Linked DNA regions of Oryzias latipes. The protein of the gene in region 1 purifies or fractionates together with the protein of each later gene. This does not show direct contact. Links are inferred from orthologs where the notes say so. Each region holds a gene or a part of one and is shown on either strand. Other genes may lie near its edges.

Evidence for each region. Proteins that work in one complex are often made in the same cells at the same time.
Region 2: the proteins of bcl7a (region 1) and pbrm1 purify together in Homo sapiens (affinity purification with mass spectrometry; 3 studies listed by BioGRID and IntAct, counting the BioPlex papers as one, with this or other methods). This does not show direct contact. The link is inferred for Oryzias latipes from reciprocal best matches to the Homo sapiens genes BCL7A and PBRM1.
Region 3: the proteins of bcl7a (region 1) and phf10 purify together in Homo sapiens (affinity purification with mass spectrometry; 3 studies listed by BioGRID and IntAct, counting the BioPlex papers as one, with this or other methods). This does not show direct contact. The link is inferred for Oryzias latipes from reciprocal best matches to the Homo sapiens genes BCL7A and PHF10.
Region 4: the proteins of bcl7a (region 1) and arid2 purify together in Homo sapiens (affinity purification with mass spectrometry; 3 studies listed by BioGRID and IntAct, counting the BioPlex papers as one, with this or other methods). This does not show direct contact. The link is inferred for Oryzias latipes from reciprocal best matches to the Homo sapiens genes BCL7A and ARID2.

Annotation. Positions count from the first base shown.
Region 1 is NC_019870.2:1,211,988-1,216,279, reverse strand, and holds the start of bcl7a (B-cell CLL/lymphoma 7 protein family member A), read left to right. Parts: upstream 1-1,492; 5' UTR 1,493-1,599; coding exon 1,600-1,691; intron 1,692-3,239; coding exon 3,240-3,490; intron 3,491-3,587; coding exon 3,588-3,737; intron 3,738-4,256; coding exon 4,257-4,292.
Region 2 is NC_019863.2:2,540,831-2,544,330, forward strand, and holds part of pbrm1 (protein polybromo-1), read left to right. Parts: coding exon 1-141; intron 142-291; coding exon 292-397; intron 398-471; coding exon 472-1,111; intron 1,112-1,186; coding exon 1,187-1,398; intron 1,399-1,490; coding exon 1,491-1,670; intron 1,671-2,715; coding exon 2,716-2,873; intron 2,874-2,956; coding exon 2,957-3,208; intron 3,209-3,283; coding exon 3,284-3,429; intron 3,430-3,500. UniProt on the Homo sapiens protein: Involved in transcriptional activation and repression of select genes by chromatin remodeling (alteration of DNA-nucleosome topology). Required for the stability of the SWI/SNF chromatin remodeling complex SWI/SNF-B (PBAF).
Region 3 is NC_019861.2:24,492,882-24,495,751, reverse strand, and holds part of phf10 (PHD finger protein 10), read left to right. Parts: intron 1-241; coding exon 242-388; intron 389-2,870. UniProt on the Homo sapiens protein: Involved in transcription activity regulation by chromatin remodeling. Belongs to the neural progenitors-specific chromatin remodeling complex (npBAF complex) and is required for the proliferation of neural progenitors.
Region 4 is NC_019881.2:3,999,490-4,002,989, reverse strand, and holds part of arid2 (AT-rich interactive domain-containing protein 2), read right to left. Parts: intron 2,963-3,500; coding exon 2,744-2,962; intron 2,657-2,743; coding exon 2,589-2,656; intron 1,472-2,588; coding exon 1,402-1,471; intron 986-1,401; coding exon 738-985; intron 407-737; coding exon 310-406; intron 232-309; coding exon 22-231; intron 1-21. UniProt on the Homo sapiens protein: Involved in transcriptional activation and repression of select genes by chromatin remodeling (alteration of DNA-nucleosome topology). Required for the stability of the SWI/SNF chromatin remodeling complex SWI/SNF-B (PBAF).

The DNA of each region.
Region 1 (4,292 bases):
CCTTCGAGGAAGGTAGAAAAGCGCTACACAAGTGTACGCCATTTACCCCCGGAATCCTTTTATGTGCCTTATTTTTTCCTCATGGTCTTCTGCCTCCAGACCTGCAGCCACTTCCACTGAAAAGTTTATGCAAAGTTTGGGGCTTCATTTAGAACTCGCATCTATGGAAGGTTCTACCGTTTTGGGTTCTACGTACAGAACGCATGGGCACTGAACGCACGTTGCAAGGTAAACCAGGTCAAAGTTTGACCAAGCAGGGACTTGGTAGTGACGAATGGATGGTGTCCTCTCGAATTCACAGAAGTGCCAACCATTGAAAAAAAGCTCATGGAGCTGCAGAAATGTATAATTGTGGTTTACGTCCAGCAGGAATTCTGTGATTTATCAGAATGGAGCTGTGAAAGAAAAAGTCTTGGGCAAGATTTGCACCACTGACATTTCACACCCAGCCTCTTCCAACTGTGGCAGATATAGTAAACAGTGGGGAAAGAAGAAGAAGAAGCCCCTCCCTGCTTGCCCAGTGTGAACTTAGTATTTTACCCTTTCATGGGTCAATTATGAAACGCATCCTCAGTGATAAACGAGGCAACTCTGGTTGGTCCAAATATGATGGACATGTTTTGTCAGTACTGACAGCCTCGGGTCACAAGCGTAACTTCACTATATGTCACAGTGTGACAGTCATGATAGTTTCAACCAGAACCCAACATGGCTAAGCTAAACGTGGATAGCAACCGCACATTTTAAATTATGTTAAATGAAAAAAAGTCTACCAAAAAAAAAATCATTGAAAATAATAAACATTTAGCAGAAATGGTGTTTTGGTGGTGATGGCCTCAAAGTGTTTTCATACCCTCCCTTCACGACAGGGGTTTTCAGGAGTGGCACAAGAAGGGCAACACAAGATTTAAAGATCTGTTTGTGGACAACACCCTGGATTCATTTGAGCGGCTAAGCCGAACATTTGGTAGATACCTGTTAGGCAGTATCTTCTCTCTCTCGCTGGAGACCGGTTTGGATTTGAAAGTGTGTAAACAGACCAGACGACACCGTGTGGCTGCATGAAGAGCTCAGATGTTTATGGATCATATATCTAAGAGCAACAGAATTTCGTTGTCACAAGTTTCTTGTGTAACAATGATAATAAAGGCTTTCTGATTCTGAACTTCCATTAGTTTGAATCAGAAAGCCTCCCTCTAATTCCATGTTGGTGTTTCCGGCCCTTTGATGTCTCTGCGGTAAAGCTGCTTTGTTCTTTTTGTGTAAAATACCAACAAAAATGACAAAGAGTCAAACTTTTTCTCTTTTTATGGCGATTTTTTTTACAAGTGAGTGGGTAAAAACAGAACAGCTGTGTTCCTGCCGCGGCGGACACCCTGTACCGGCTCTGGGGGCAGACCTGGGGGGCAGAGCGGAGGCGGCTGCGGCTTCTTTGTTCCGCCGCTCAGCAGGATCTGATCTGAGCTCAGCGCGCAGCCGCAGCCGCCCCCCCCCTCTTCCCCCGGAGCCGCGCAGGCGCACTGGCCTCTCTGTGCGCTCTACTGTTTGCATTGTGTCTGAACTGCCGGCGAGCTTTAAAAATATTTTAGCAGCGCGGAAATGTCGGGCAGGTCGGTCCGAGCGGAGACCCGGAGCAGGGCCAAAGATGACATCAAGAGGGTCATGGCCGCCATCGAGAAAGTACGAAAATGGTGAGTAAACGCCGGGAAAGGAGCGCTTCGTTACCCGGGAGCAGAAAGGCTCTCTTGTTGGGGGAGGAGAGGGAAGAAGCGAGACGGAGACGGATGAAATTGAAAGAAAACGACGTTTTCTGGACGGCAGATCCCGCCGCGGCTCAGGTGCAGCGGTCCGCACCGGCGTACCGGTCTTCGCCGGTCGGAGGCGGGCTTCGGCGGGAACCGGTTCGTCGCATAGCCGCTGTTTTTCCGCCGATTTTTAACGGCTAGGGCTGAACCCAGAAGAAGCCATTTCGATGCAGTCACATGAAGCCATTGCTGCTCGCTGCGGAGCCGGGAGCGCGAGCGGAGCGGCGCCGGCCAAACGAACACCCGGCGCGGACGGAGGGACCGTTCGATGACGCTCCGGAGTCCGGGCTCTTCGGCCCGCGAGGAGTTTTAAGGCAGCGCTCGGAGTCGCCCTTCGGGTCCGACGGAGCAGCGCTCGGTCGGTGGGGGTTGGGAGAGGGAAGTCCGCCGAGATGCATGGCTGAACGCGCAGCCAGCGGCGCCGAGCGACCGGTTCGCCGCGGAAAATCACCCTTTAACCGCCTTCAGCTTCTCCGCCGCACATATACGGTTATCACCCGGACACGAGGAGCGTGGATCCAGCCGCGTGACCCCGCCGGGGGGCGGTATTTTTTTCAATTTCTGCCTGTCTGGGTGGATTAATCAAACGTCTCCAGGTCAAAGTCAGAAGTTTATTTTTTTCGATTAAAGTTAAGAAAATAAAACGGAATAAACAAACCGGAACCAGAAACTTTAGGCGGGTAAACAAAACAGTTTCAGTCAGTTATTCCCCCAAATTTAAAAAAAGTTAAACATTTTGTTTGTAAATTGCAACAATTCATTCCTAATAAAAAATATTTTTAAAACACATTTTAACTTCTGTTTAGTTTTATTAACATCAGTTTAAGGATTAAACATTTGTTTCAGTTTACATTTTTTTCTTATATATGAGAAATTTTAATACCAAAATTGTTTATTTAGATAGAGGGATTTTACCTTAACACCTAAATGTAGCTTTTTTAAAGGTTTAAGTAGTGATTTAGAAAAACAAGGGAAATAATCGAATCATACTGATCAATAATCAATATATTGATCATTTAGTGACATTATTTTTATAACTTTTTTGTTGGTTTTTATAAATTATAGAAAAATATTTTTTTCCAACACACACTTCATATTCATTTATGAATAATAAAGCTGTTTAAGATTTTTGTATATATACATCTGATCGGTAACTAATCAATAATATAATTAATGTATTTTGTAAAATATAAAAGTAATAAAATCAGTTTGAAATCTTAAAATAAGATTTTTAAAGAGGAGAAAATAGCATTTTTCACATAAATCCCTTTTAACATATATATTTAAAGGATTTATTATTGATATAATTAAGGGGAAAAAATCTTCTTTTGATGTGATTTTTGGTTTTTTAATGAAAGGCGCTTCTGTCAGGATGATGAGGTTTTCCCCTTAAAGTCAGAGATGCTTCCTGTCCTGATGGTTTCCTCTCTTCAGGGAGAAGAAGTGGGTGACGGTGGGAGACACGTCCCTCCGCATCTACAAGTGGGTCCCGGTGACGGAGCCCAAATCTGAGGACGTGAGTCCGCCTCTGACACCTGTCAGCCGGGGTTTCTCTTCAAAATGGATGATTCTTATTTTCCGTTTTCAGAAAAACAAAAACAAGAAAAAGGGCAAAGATGAGAAGTACGGCTCAGAGGTGACGACCCCGGAGAACAGCTCGTCTCCGGGGATGATGGACATGCACGGTGAGGCCCCACCCCCCCACCTGAGGTCACAGCTGGACATGACAACAGGTCGTTCTCTGATGAATGTAAATAAAGGCTGAGCGTGCTTCTCCTTCAGACGACAACAGCAACCAGAGCTCCATCGCAGACTCGTCCCCAGTGAAGCAGGAAAACAGCTGTAGCACAAGCCCCGCCCCCGAGAACAACGCCGCCACGCTCCGTGAGAACAGCGAGACCAAGAGCGAGCAGAGCCCGGACAGCAAGAGAGGTCAGAGGTCAAATGCAAACAGCAGCTGGTTGGAGCCAGCGACCCCTCGGCGCAGCTGTAGCCTCAGCGCCGCCCTCAGGGAATTCAACCGTCAACCGTGTTTTCCAGACGGGCTCTGATTGAGAGCACAGAGAGGAAATGAAGTCAGACAGTCTGAGCCAATCAGAAAGGCTCTGTGTGAAGCCCCGCCCTGATGCGTTGTGAAAACGGCGCCCTCATCATGGCCGATCTTCAGAAAGACCAATTAAGATTTAATTGAAGCAAAACTGAACGAATCCAATACTTTGACGGAATAAAAGACAAACCTTTATCCCAATTTGTCACAGAATTCCTTAAATACGACCAATTCAATTTATAAACCCTAAAATTACAACAATAGTTGTCCTGATGGGCTTCAATGTGACGGAGAACCTTTACATCTCGTTACAAGTTGCAGTTCCTTCATTTCACCACAGGGTGTCAGTAAAGCACCACAAAAGGGACTGCAGTTTGATCCAAGCTGTGACCTCTGACCCACAGGTAAGACCACGCCCTCGTCAGAGACCTCAGAGAGAG
Region 2 (3,500 bases), on another chromosome or scaffold:
AAAATTATCCTGGAGCCCATGGACCTGAGGACCATCGAGCACAACATTCGCTCAGACAAGTATCTGACCGAGGACTCTATGGTGGCAGATATGAAGCTGATGTTCCGCAATGCTCGGCACTACAATGAGGAAGGCTCACAGGTGAGACTGCTCACAGTTTCTGAAGGTTCTCTGTTGTCCTCGAGGGATCAGTCATTCACAAAAACAACTAGAACAAAGAGAAATTAACCTTTAATAAAGTAAACAAGAGGAGAAAAACCTTTTTGACCTTTTGAATCTGCGCTTTTGCAGGTCTACAATGATGCAGACATCCTAGAGAAGATCATGGAGGACAGGCGCAGAGATCTCGGACCAGCAACTGATGAAGACGACACCATGTCCCCCAAGTTAAAAATAAGTAGGTTTCACAGCCAGTGTCAAAAAAGTACACCGACCTGTTACTGAGAAGCCTTTGTGTTTTGTTTATTTCAGGAAAGAACAGCATCAATCTGAAGAAATCAAAGTACTTGAGTCCCTTACAGCAGAAACTCAATGAGCTTTACGAAGCTGTCAAGAACTACACAGACAAACGAGGTCGCCGACTCAGCACCATCTTCCTGAGACTTCCATCTCGCGCTGAGCTCCCCGATTACTATATCGCCATTAAGAAACCGGTGGACATGGAGAAGATCAAGAGCCACATGCTGGCTAACAAGTACCAGGATGTTGATGCTCTGGTTGAGGACTTTGTGCTGATGTTTAACAACGCCTGCACCTACAACGAGCCAGAGTCTCTGATTTACCGAGACGCTCTCTTGCTGCACAAAGTGTTGTTGGAGACCAGGCGGGATCTGGAAGGAGGAGAGGACACCCACGTGCCGGACGTGCCCCGCCTCATCCAGGAGCTTGTTCGCAGCCTCTTTGTATCTGTTCTTGGTCACCAAGACGATGAGGGGCGATGCTACAGCGATTCTCTGGCAGAGATTCCTGCTGCTGATCCAGCAAACTCTGAGAAACCTCTGCTTAATTTTGAGATCATCAGAAAAAATGTGGACCGGAGTCGCTACAGGAGGCTGGATGTTTTTCAGGACCACATGTTTGAGGTTCTAGAGAAAGCCAGACGGTTAAGCAGGTGAGGTATTGATCATGCTCACAAACAAAGGATTGCTTTTTTTTAGGTATGTACAAAGTCTTTGATTTATTACAGGACAGATTCAGAGATCTTTGAAGATGCAGTGGAGCTGCAGCAGTTCTTCATCAAAATCCGAGATGAGCTGTGCAAGAATGGAGAGATCTTGATGTCCCCTGCCCTCAGCTATACTAGTAAACATTTGCATAGTGATGTAGACAAGGAAAAGAAAGAGAAACTTCCCAAAGAGTACGAGGAAGACAGAATCAAGAGAGAAGAAGAAAAAAAAGGTATACTAGAAATACTTGTGAAAACCAACAACTGCAGTTGTGTATCTCCTTCTCCTCCTACATTTCTTCACACAAAACCTTTTACTCCTCAGAGGCAGAAAAGAGGGAGGACCCAGTAGTAGCATCGTGGCCCGTTCAGCGTACATACAGCCAGGACTGCTCCTTCAAGGATAGTATGTACCATGTGGGGGACTGCGTCTATGTCGAGCCTGCAGAGTCGAACCTACAGCCACACATAATCTGTATTGAGCGTCTCTGGCAGGATGACACCGGTCAGTGCATTTCTCAGATTTGAATGTGGGGGCTTCAATTTGCTTGAGTGACTTAGAGGTTACAAAAATAAATATCTTTGGTTGTCCAGGTTTAGAAGAAGCCAATGTCTGAAGAAAACACTACAACGTTATAGAAACACATGTATGTTCCATAATATGAACTATTCTGGTCAACGCACTGACGAAAATGTAGCGATAATGCAAATTCAAAATGTTCTGGCTGTGTGGAAATTAAGAGACAAACACTGATGCTTGAAATGCTTTATGAAATTGACTTGAAAATGATTGCTATTAGTGTAAAAATCTGATTTGGTTTGCTGATATTCCACACATAGATGAGTTAAAGCAGTGACATCATTCAAAAACCAGCTCCTGCTCCTCAACTCGGGAAAGCTGATAAGATACTTTTCAGAGACAGTGGACACTGGTACACAGATGTTTAACTAAAAGCATTACAGAAAGCCGTGAACCTTGATTTAATGCAAGGGTTGTACAGTGGTGTAGTGGTTAGCACTTTCGCATCACAGTGAGAAGGTCCTGGTTTAAATCCAAGCTGGGTCCCTGTGCATGGGTGCATTTTCTTTAGGTGCTTAAGGCCTGAAGAAGCCATAAATGTGCTTGATAGGACGGTAGGTTATTTCAAATTGTCCCTAAGTATGAATGTGTGTTTGAATGTGTCCCCCTGCGATGAACTGGCAACCCATCCAAAGAGTAACTGCCTGCTCCCAACAGTAGCTGGGATAGGCTGCAGTAACCCCCCCTGACCCCAAAAGGGATTCAGCAGGTTTAGAAAAGAGATGAACTTCCTGCAGATCCAACCGTGAAGGAAACAAATGGCAGAAAAGACAAAAGGAGTGTTTTAGACTGTACCCTCCTAATATTTTTAGTTTATTTACATTGAAAATGTGCAATTTTCTTTACTGTTAAAGGTGGTTCACAATCTAAGTTATTGTCTGTTATTCAGTTTTTGTTCTTTTTCCTTTCCTGACTTTCCCCTCTCTCCATGTAAATCCGGTCGGTTTTCTTCCCTCTCCGATACAAACAGGGGAGAAGTGGTTGTATGGATGCTGGTTCTATCGACCAAATGAAACGTTTCATTTGGCCACAAGAAAATTCTTGGAGAAGGAAGTTTTCAAGAGCGATTACTACAACAAAACTCCCATCAGCAAAATTCTGGGAAAGTGTGTTGTTATGTTCGTAAAGGTACTTTGCTCCTGCTAAAATCTCTTTTTAGATTTTTTTCCCCCACTCTAGTATGTGTTAACCAGATACTTTTGGAACTCTAGGAGTACTTCAAGCTCTACCCAGAAGGTTTCCAGGAAGAGGATGTGTACGTCTGTGAATCGCGTTACTCTGCTAAGTCTAAGTCCTTCAAGAAGATCAAGATGTGGACCATGCCTCTGAACTCAGTTCGGTTCACTCCTCGAGAAGTACCCCTTCCTGTGGTTCGTGTAGCTTCCATATTTGCCACTAAACCAGATGAGAAGCCACCGGAGACGGAAGACGAGAGCAAAATGACAGATGGGGTCATAGAGAAGGTAAAAGCTTTGTTTGTTTGTTTGTTTGTTTGTTTGTGTGTAACCTTCAAATGCTAAAGTTTTTCATGTCAACAGGAGAGGGAGGACGTTCCTTTGGATTTCACCAACGGAGAGCCAGGCTGTCAGTACTACGAGCAGCTGTGCTACAACAACCTGTGGCTGAAAGTGGGAGACTGTGTTTACATTGGTTCTCATGGACTGGTGCGTCACCGAGTGGGCAGGTAAAGGAAATACTGCCATTCTGAACATACTGATCTATAAATGTTTTTTCTGTTGAATATTTCGTATCTTA
Region 3 (2,870 bases), on another chromosome or scaffold:
GTGTATTCTGTGCACATGTATATATATATCTAAGTGCCAATAACTCTTTTCTGCTTTCTAAATAATATGTTTGGTGGAATTTTGAAATCAGGCAAGTTGATTTAAGTGTTAAAAGTTCTTAAAAAAATTTGAAAACTTATAATTTACTTCAGTTTTTGTGTAAAGAAAGATTACAGACCTCTTTAATTTTCTTTTATAAGCGTGTTTTTTTTTTTGTACCCCCCTCTCTGTTATTTAACAGGACAGCTCTTCAGGCAACGCCTCTGACGTGGAGAGTCAGGAAGGTGGAGGTGGGCAGGGCAGCAAGTCTAAAATGAAAGACAGGACATCAACACCAGGCAAAGATCAGCGCCAGTCTGCCCTCCTCAAAGCCTCCCAAGGGTACAAGGTAGAGGACAAAACCACCTGAACTTTTCTCCAAAAAACAGCAGCAGCACTTTTCTACCCCTCCTCCTCCTCTTTTTACTACCACTCCTTTACTCCATACATCCTGCCCTTCCCTCTCAGTTCTCTTCACTTTGTTCTCCAGCTTCTGCAGTTGGTCAGCCTTTTCAAGTTGGGACATATTGGTTCACACATGCACCCCCCCCCCCCCCCCCCCCCCACACACACACACACACATACCCATTCCTGAGGGGTTACCGCCTTCAGATTTTGGTTTTAATCCAGCAATGTGGCTATTTCTTCCTCACATTGCAGTAAACTCAAAGCAATAAGAATATTTTAAAAGAGGAAATCACTTATTTTTTTTGTGGATTATTTTTAGTTTAATGACTTCAAGTGAATCTTTCCCTTTCATCAAGTATACCTCTTGCCTGTCCTCACTTGTCAAAAAATAAGAGTAAGTTTCCAGACAAGTAAGTGGATGTTTGGCTGCTAGTTTCCTCATTTATTTACTCTAACATAGAAAGCATCAACCACGTATAACTTGTGGTTAATATCTAAGAAAATTCATGTTAAATATAGAGTATTTAACCTTTACTTATGTTTACTTCAGATATGTAATCCTAATGTTTAAAGTATGTACTGGTATAAGAACATCATTTGTTTATACACAATGTGGTGTACTGTTAATATGTTCAGGAGTACCTTGCAGTTGTTTGGCATGGTTTTCACCTGTCACCATGGAGACGCCTAGCTCTGCTGCCCCTGTTCACACTGATGCTGAGCTGAGATACAAGTTTGTGTGCTGACTGCTTCAGCCATGAACTCCCAGTCATTCAGTATCTTTGCCATTACTTTATGAAGCTATTGGACCTCACAGATACGCTTGAAGCACTTTTAATGAGACATTTTTGTCCCCATCGTAAACTTTATTTTCTATTTTAGCCCGCAGCAAATTCTCAAAGTAAACTGTACTGATGGATCAATATTCAAGGGGCAATAATGGACCCGAACGTTTGACTTCAGCTCAGCTGTGTGGTGTGGACATGGCTCTTTGAATTTTAGTGTCTGTTTTGAATTTTTTTTTATGAAATGAAAAAGGAAAAAAAAAACTACTTCTAAGTACTTAAAGGTTTTCAAATATGCCATGGCATGCTGTTAGCTGAAACTCCTTAGAATATCATTCCTCAGATATTGACATTTTTGTTAAAGAAAAGGGTCAATGTAGTGTTTGAATATCAAATGTAATGTGCAATTTTGTAAATTTGGTAAATTTTTTCAAGTCAAAGCTCTTTCTTCAGCTGATCAAAAGAATAAATGACTTGTATTGATTGCATCTACTTAGTTTATGTTATTTTGCACTGGTCTGTTGTGCACAAGTTCTACAGTAAAAAGGGAACTCATGTCACATCTCAGGCTTTCACTGATATGACGGGGGAACAGTGCACATTAGATGTTTACTTTCTGCAACAAATCTGAACAAACTTGATTAGGGATTAAAAAACCCTAGAAATACCCTGACACTGCTCTTTAGAAAGGGGTTTTTGAGGAACGATTTAAAAATGGGTGAAAACTGTCCTTCAGTTTACCGGTAAAGGTGTAGAGCTATTCTTTGTTTTGTAGGTCAGTATTTAACCAGATTTTGTAGACTTTCATGGCTTATATAAAATCTTAGCGAGAAATTTTTTCTTTTTTTTTTTAAATAATCAATGTGGTCCAAAATAGATCAAAATAATAGACTACACTTCAGCCAAGAATCATCAACGATAGTGTAGTAAAATGTTGACAGAAGATTTAATGAACACATTTCACCTATTTTGTCTTCCTTTTTGCTTTCTGAATCTTGGATTTGTTAGTATTTGAAGTCTTTTCATTATTAGCAGACTTTATTCTTTCGTTTTGCGTCTTTATTATTATTTATTTACCGTTTTACTCTGGCCTTCTTCCTTTTTAAGGGAGATTTAAAGGATGGTTGTCACACTGTAACTTTCCTCAAATTTTTATGTTTATGCTACTGACTTAAAAATCTTTTATTTATTAATAATAGCAAAACATGACACGCATCCACATATTTGATGACTTCTTTGAATCCAGGAACATTTAGGACTTTTTGACTGTGTGACATCCACGTGTAAGCCTCCCTAACTACAGTATTAACATTTCTCCCCTTTTGTCTGTATTTCCCCACTCTGCTTTCTTTTAAACAAAACCGTTTTCAAAACAAAAAAAGAAAAAAACCTTCCAGAGTTTCTGTAATTGACATTTACAGAGGTTTTAAGTTGTATTACTAATAATTTCTAAATGATAAATAGCTGCATATCATAAAGTATCAATCATACAGCATTTATATTAAGGTTGGTGGTTTAATTTCTGGCCGGTCTGTGGGCAAGCCATTGAAACCCGTTTTATACATTAATAAGGCAATTTTTTGGCCTAAAATAGGATTTATGAATATGTATTATTGTGATTTAAACTCTAATAATGCA
Region 4 (3,500 bases), on another chromosome or scaffold:
GGGACCGGTTCTGGTTCATACCTATGCTGTGGTCAACGGAGGCGATCTTACTGCAGGACACCTCTCCGAGCTGAGCCAGCAGGTACAGCACCTCCAAGGAGGCCATGAGGAGCATGAGGTCGGGCAGGGTGAGGAGCATCATCACCTCCCTGTACGACTCCTGGTCCACATACTCGCAGATCAACACGCTGTTGTCGTCCGCTTTGCTGAGGTTCCCCAGGATCTCCATGGCTGAGGGACACACGGAGCAGGGGGGGGGGGTCAGCTCAATCTGACATAGAGGAGCCCAGGAGCAGGGAGGAGACTCACCCCTCATCTTCAGGAAGCGGTCTCTGGACATCAGGCATTTGGTGATGGTGTGAAAGATCAGGTGCGTCGTCCGAAAGTCAACGGGGTCGAGCTGGAGCTGCAGCGAGAGAACCGCATGTTCAAACCCCCCGCACACAAACAGAGGGGAGCGTCCAGCATCCGAGGCTGAAGCTGGCGTCTGATGTTTTAGCTTCCACTTTGACAGTCGAGAGAAAATCTAAAATCACATTTGAACGGTTCCAACAGGAAATCTAGAAACCAAGGTTAAAGACGCTACAGAGGAGGGAGACCATCTCTACCCTCAAAAGTTAAAGAAAACTGGAAACTTTAAATCAACGGAGACGCCAACTTCATTCTCGGACCGAGCGGTCCATGAAAATCCTGTCCGACATTAAACTGGTGAGAGCGCTGACGTTCGAGCGCCGTACCTCGGCCGCCACGTTGCCCAGCGTGTCGAGTCCGAGCTGTCTTAGTGAGATGAGGTTACAGTGGGCGCAGAGCAAAAGGAAGCGCAGGCACGTTCGGTTGGCCGCCAGCAGCTTGACGTTGGCCTCCTCGAAGGAGAGGTTTCGCAGGATGACGGCGACCTGCAGCACCCGCTGGGCCTCCATGTCGCTGATGCCCTGGTTTCGCGGCGGGTGGAAGAGGCTCTGCCAGCGATCTCCACACGTGCCGTCTGCGCAGACAACACAGGGGGAGGGCCTTCAGAGCCGCCAGGGGTTTGGACTTGCACAGACACTGACGCACAGCCTCCTCCAGATGTGTGTGTGTGTGTGTGTGACAGTACTAAAACATCTGCACATCTGTCCCAGTCATGAATCACTCCTGTTCAATTCTTTGCACATTTTTACTTGAATCTTCATCTCATTTGGTTAAGAAAACTTATCTGGCAGTTTTAAATAAACAAAAGTGAATTTTTTCATTCTTACTTTTTAACATCCAAAACTTGAGACAAGAAAAACAGCTTTAAAAGTTAATGGATTTATGGATTTCACATCAACCAAGTCTAGAGTCATGTGAACCCAGCCGGGTCAAACAAACATTCGATGACAGCTCGTCAAACACCCGTGTGCCTCCGGGCCACGCCCTCACCTTGGGTCAGGCCGCTTTTGTCCCAGATCAGCTCCCGGACTTCAGTGTCTTCCACCACTTCCCTCCAGAACTGTAAGGAAGTAGAACAGCAGCTCACACCTGTTTCCTCGTGAAAAGATGTAGCCTACATTTCCCAGGATGCACTTTGAAGGAAGTCAGGAACTCAGGAGTCCCAACGAGGTAAAGGGAGCGGGAAGCGCGCCGAGTTTAGTTTTTGGACTTTCCTGAAGTCCTTCAGGTACAATAAACAGCGGCGTTTCTGAAGTTTCTGCATCTACAGGGCTTGCCGAAACGTCACTGAAATGGCGAGCAGCGTTGTATGGCCCCGCCTACGCCCTCGCCGCCCCCGTTTAACCCAGGCATACAGGCTGCACACCCCTCATCCTCCCACCCTGATCAGAGCTGCAGGTGACAAAAGAAACGCGGCAGCTTTTCTGTTGAGTTTATCTCCATAGCAACCATATTATGTTTAAGTCCTCTGGAGGTCACAACAGATCGATGTAATCTGAAGAAGAATCTGCAAAAGTAAACTTTTGGATTTCCTTGACAACTGAGGATTTTTGTTAACCACGCCCACATTCCTACCCCAGTCATATCGTATGTTTCTATGGTTTCGTGCAGCTTGAGCCAGAAATTCACAAATTACATTTTCACAACACTCGGATAAAAAATGTGCGAACAGTAGGGGAGCACCTTTTTTTCTTTTTTCAAGCTCGCCACGCAAACGCCGTTCAAAATCGACCACTAACATTCTAACATCCATTTCCCAAGTAGCTTTGCAGTGATGCTCGGAGAGTTCAGAGGCGTTAAATGAGAATCCCCAAGATTTTAACTCGTAGCTGGTACCAAAGGAGAGGTTATTGAAAATTCAACATGGCTGCCTCTTCCTGAGGTCAAAGGTCAACATAGGTTCAGTTGTAGACTTTGTGAAATTTGGTGAAGATAACTTTTTAGCCTCAAACGAGTCTCGTTTTTATGATTGTCTTTCCTGCTGTCATGTCAACATTTGTCCTCAAAAGTCCATTTTCTGCAGCTACTAGCTGTGCAAACATTTAGGGGTTTTGAGTTTGTGGGCGGGGCCACATTTTACTTTCAATGCGCAGTCAGACAGTAAGCAGAATTGCAAAAACATTTTGGGTCCTGGCAGTTTAGGACCGCTGCGGGGGCAGAATCAAAAAAGTCTTTACCCTGATGAAGTCCCGGGACGTTTTCTCCTTCCAGTCGCTCCCAAACACCCCAGAGAAGCTGCCTAAAGCTGCACACAAACAGAGGAGTTGACTTAGAGGAAGCCGCCCCCGTCGGGAAGAGGGAGAACGCTCCGAAACGAGGGCTGTGGACGTACAGTCGTCGAAGACGCCGGCGTGGGCGAGCAGCAGCGTGACCAGTTTGGGGTCCTTGTCCAGCTGCATGACGTGCTTGCTCTCGTTGGATAGAAGTGTGCAAACGTTGACGGCGAAGTCCACCTCGTTGGGGAGGCCCGACAGGAGAGAGAGCACCAGTTTGCTGTAGTCGCAGGGCGGAACGAAGTCTGTGGACAGTCCATAGCTTTGGCGGAGATAGTCTGTGGGGGGGTGGGGACAAATGGAAAATAGTTCAATTTAACTTCACACGATACGGTTCAGCTGTTCGATGAGGTTTCCCATCTGTACGAGGAGCACCAATGTTCAAGTTTAAGCCTGCACTGATGCTGAAAAACAACATTCTGAAGAGGAGAAACATCCTCGGGGGGGTTTACTGTACTGCTGCTTCCGGAGGCCGACCCTGATGTTGTAAAGATGGGATTTCCATGTTTCCAAGGGTTTGTACCATCATTGGCGCCAATATTTGTTATTCTGTCGCATATCTGCAGCAGCTTTTTTTTTTTTTTTGAACAGATGAGAAACAGATGAGAGCTGTATATTTTACTGTTACATAACAGGGATTATGAATCTTATGACTGACAAGGAGTATATTTGAATAAACCCATTTTGTAACTCAGACTAAACATTATTTATATTAATCATATTTGATTCAGTTTTTTTTGTTGGGCGAACGGTAAAGAAGAGGAGATGTACGTTTGGGGGGGAAGGGGGGGGGGTTGATGAAATTGGAAGATGATT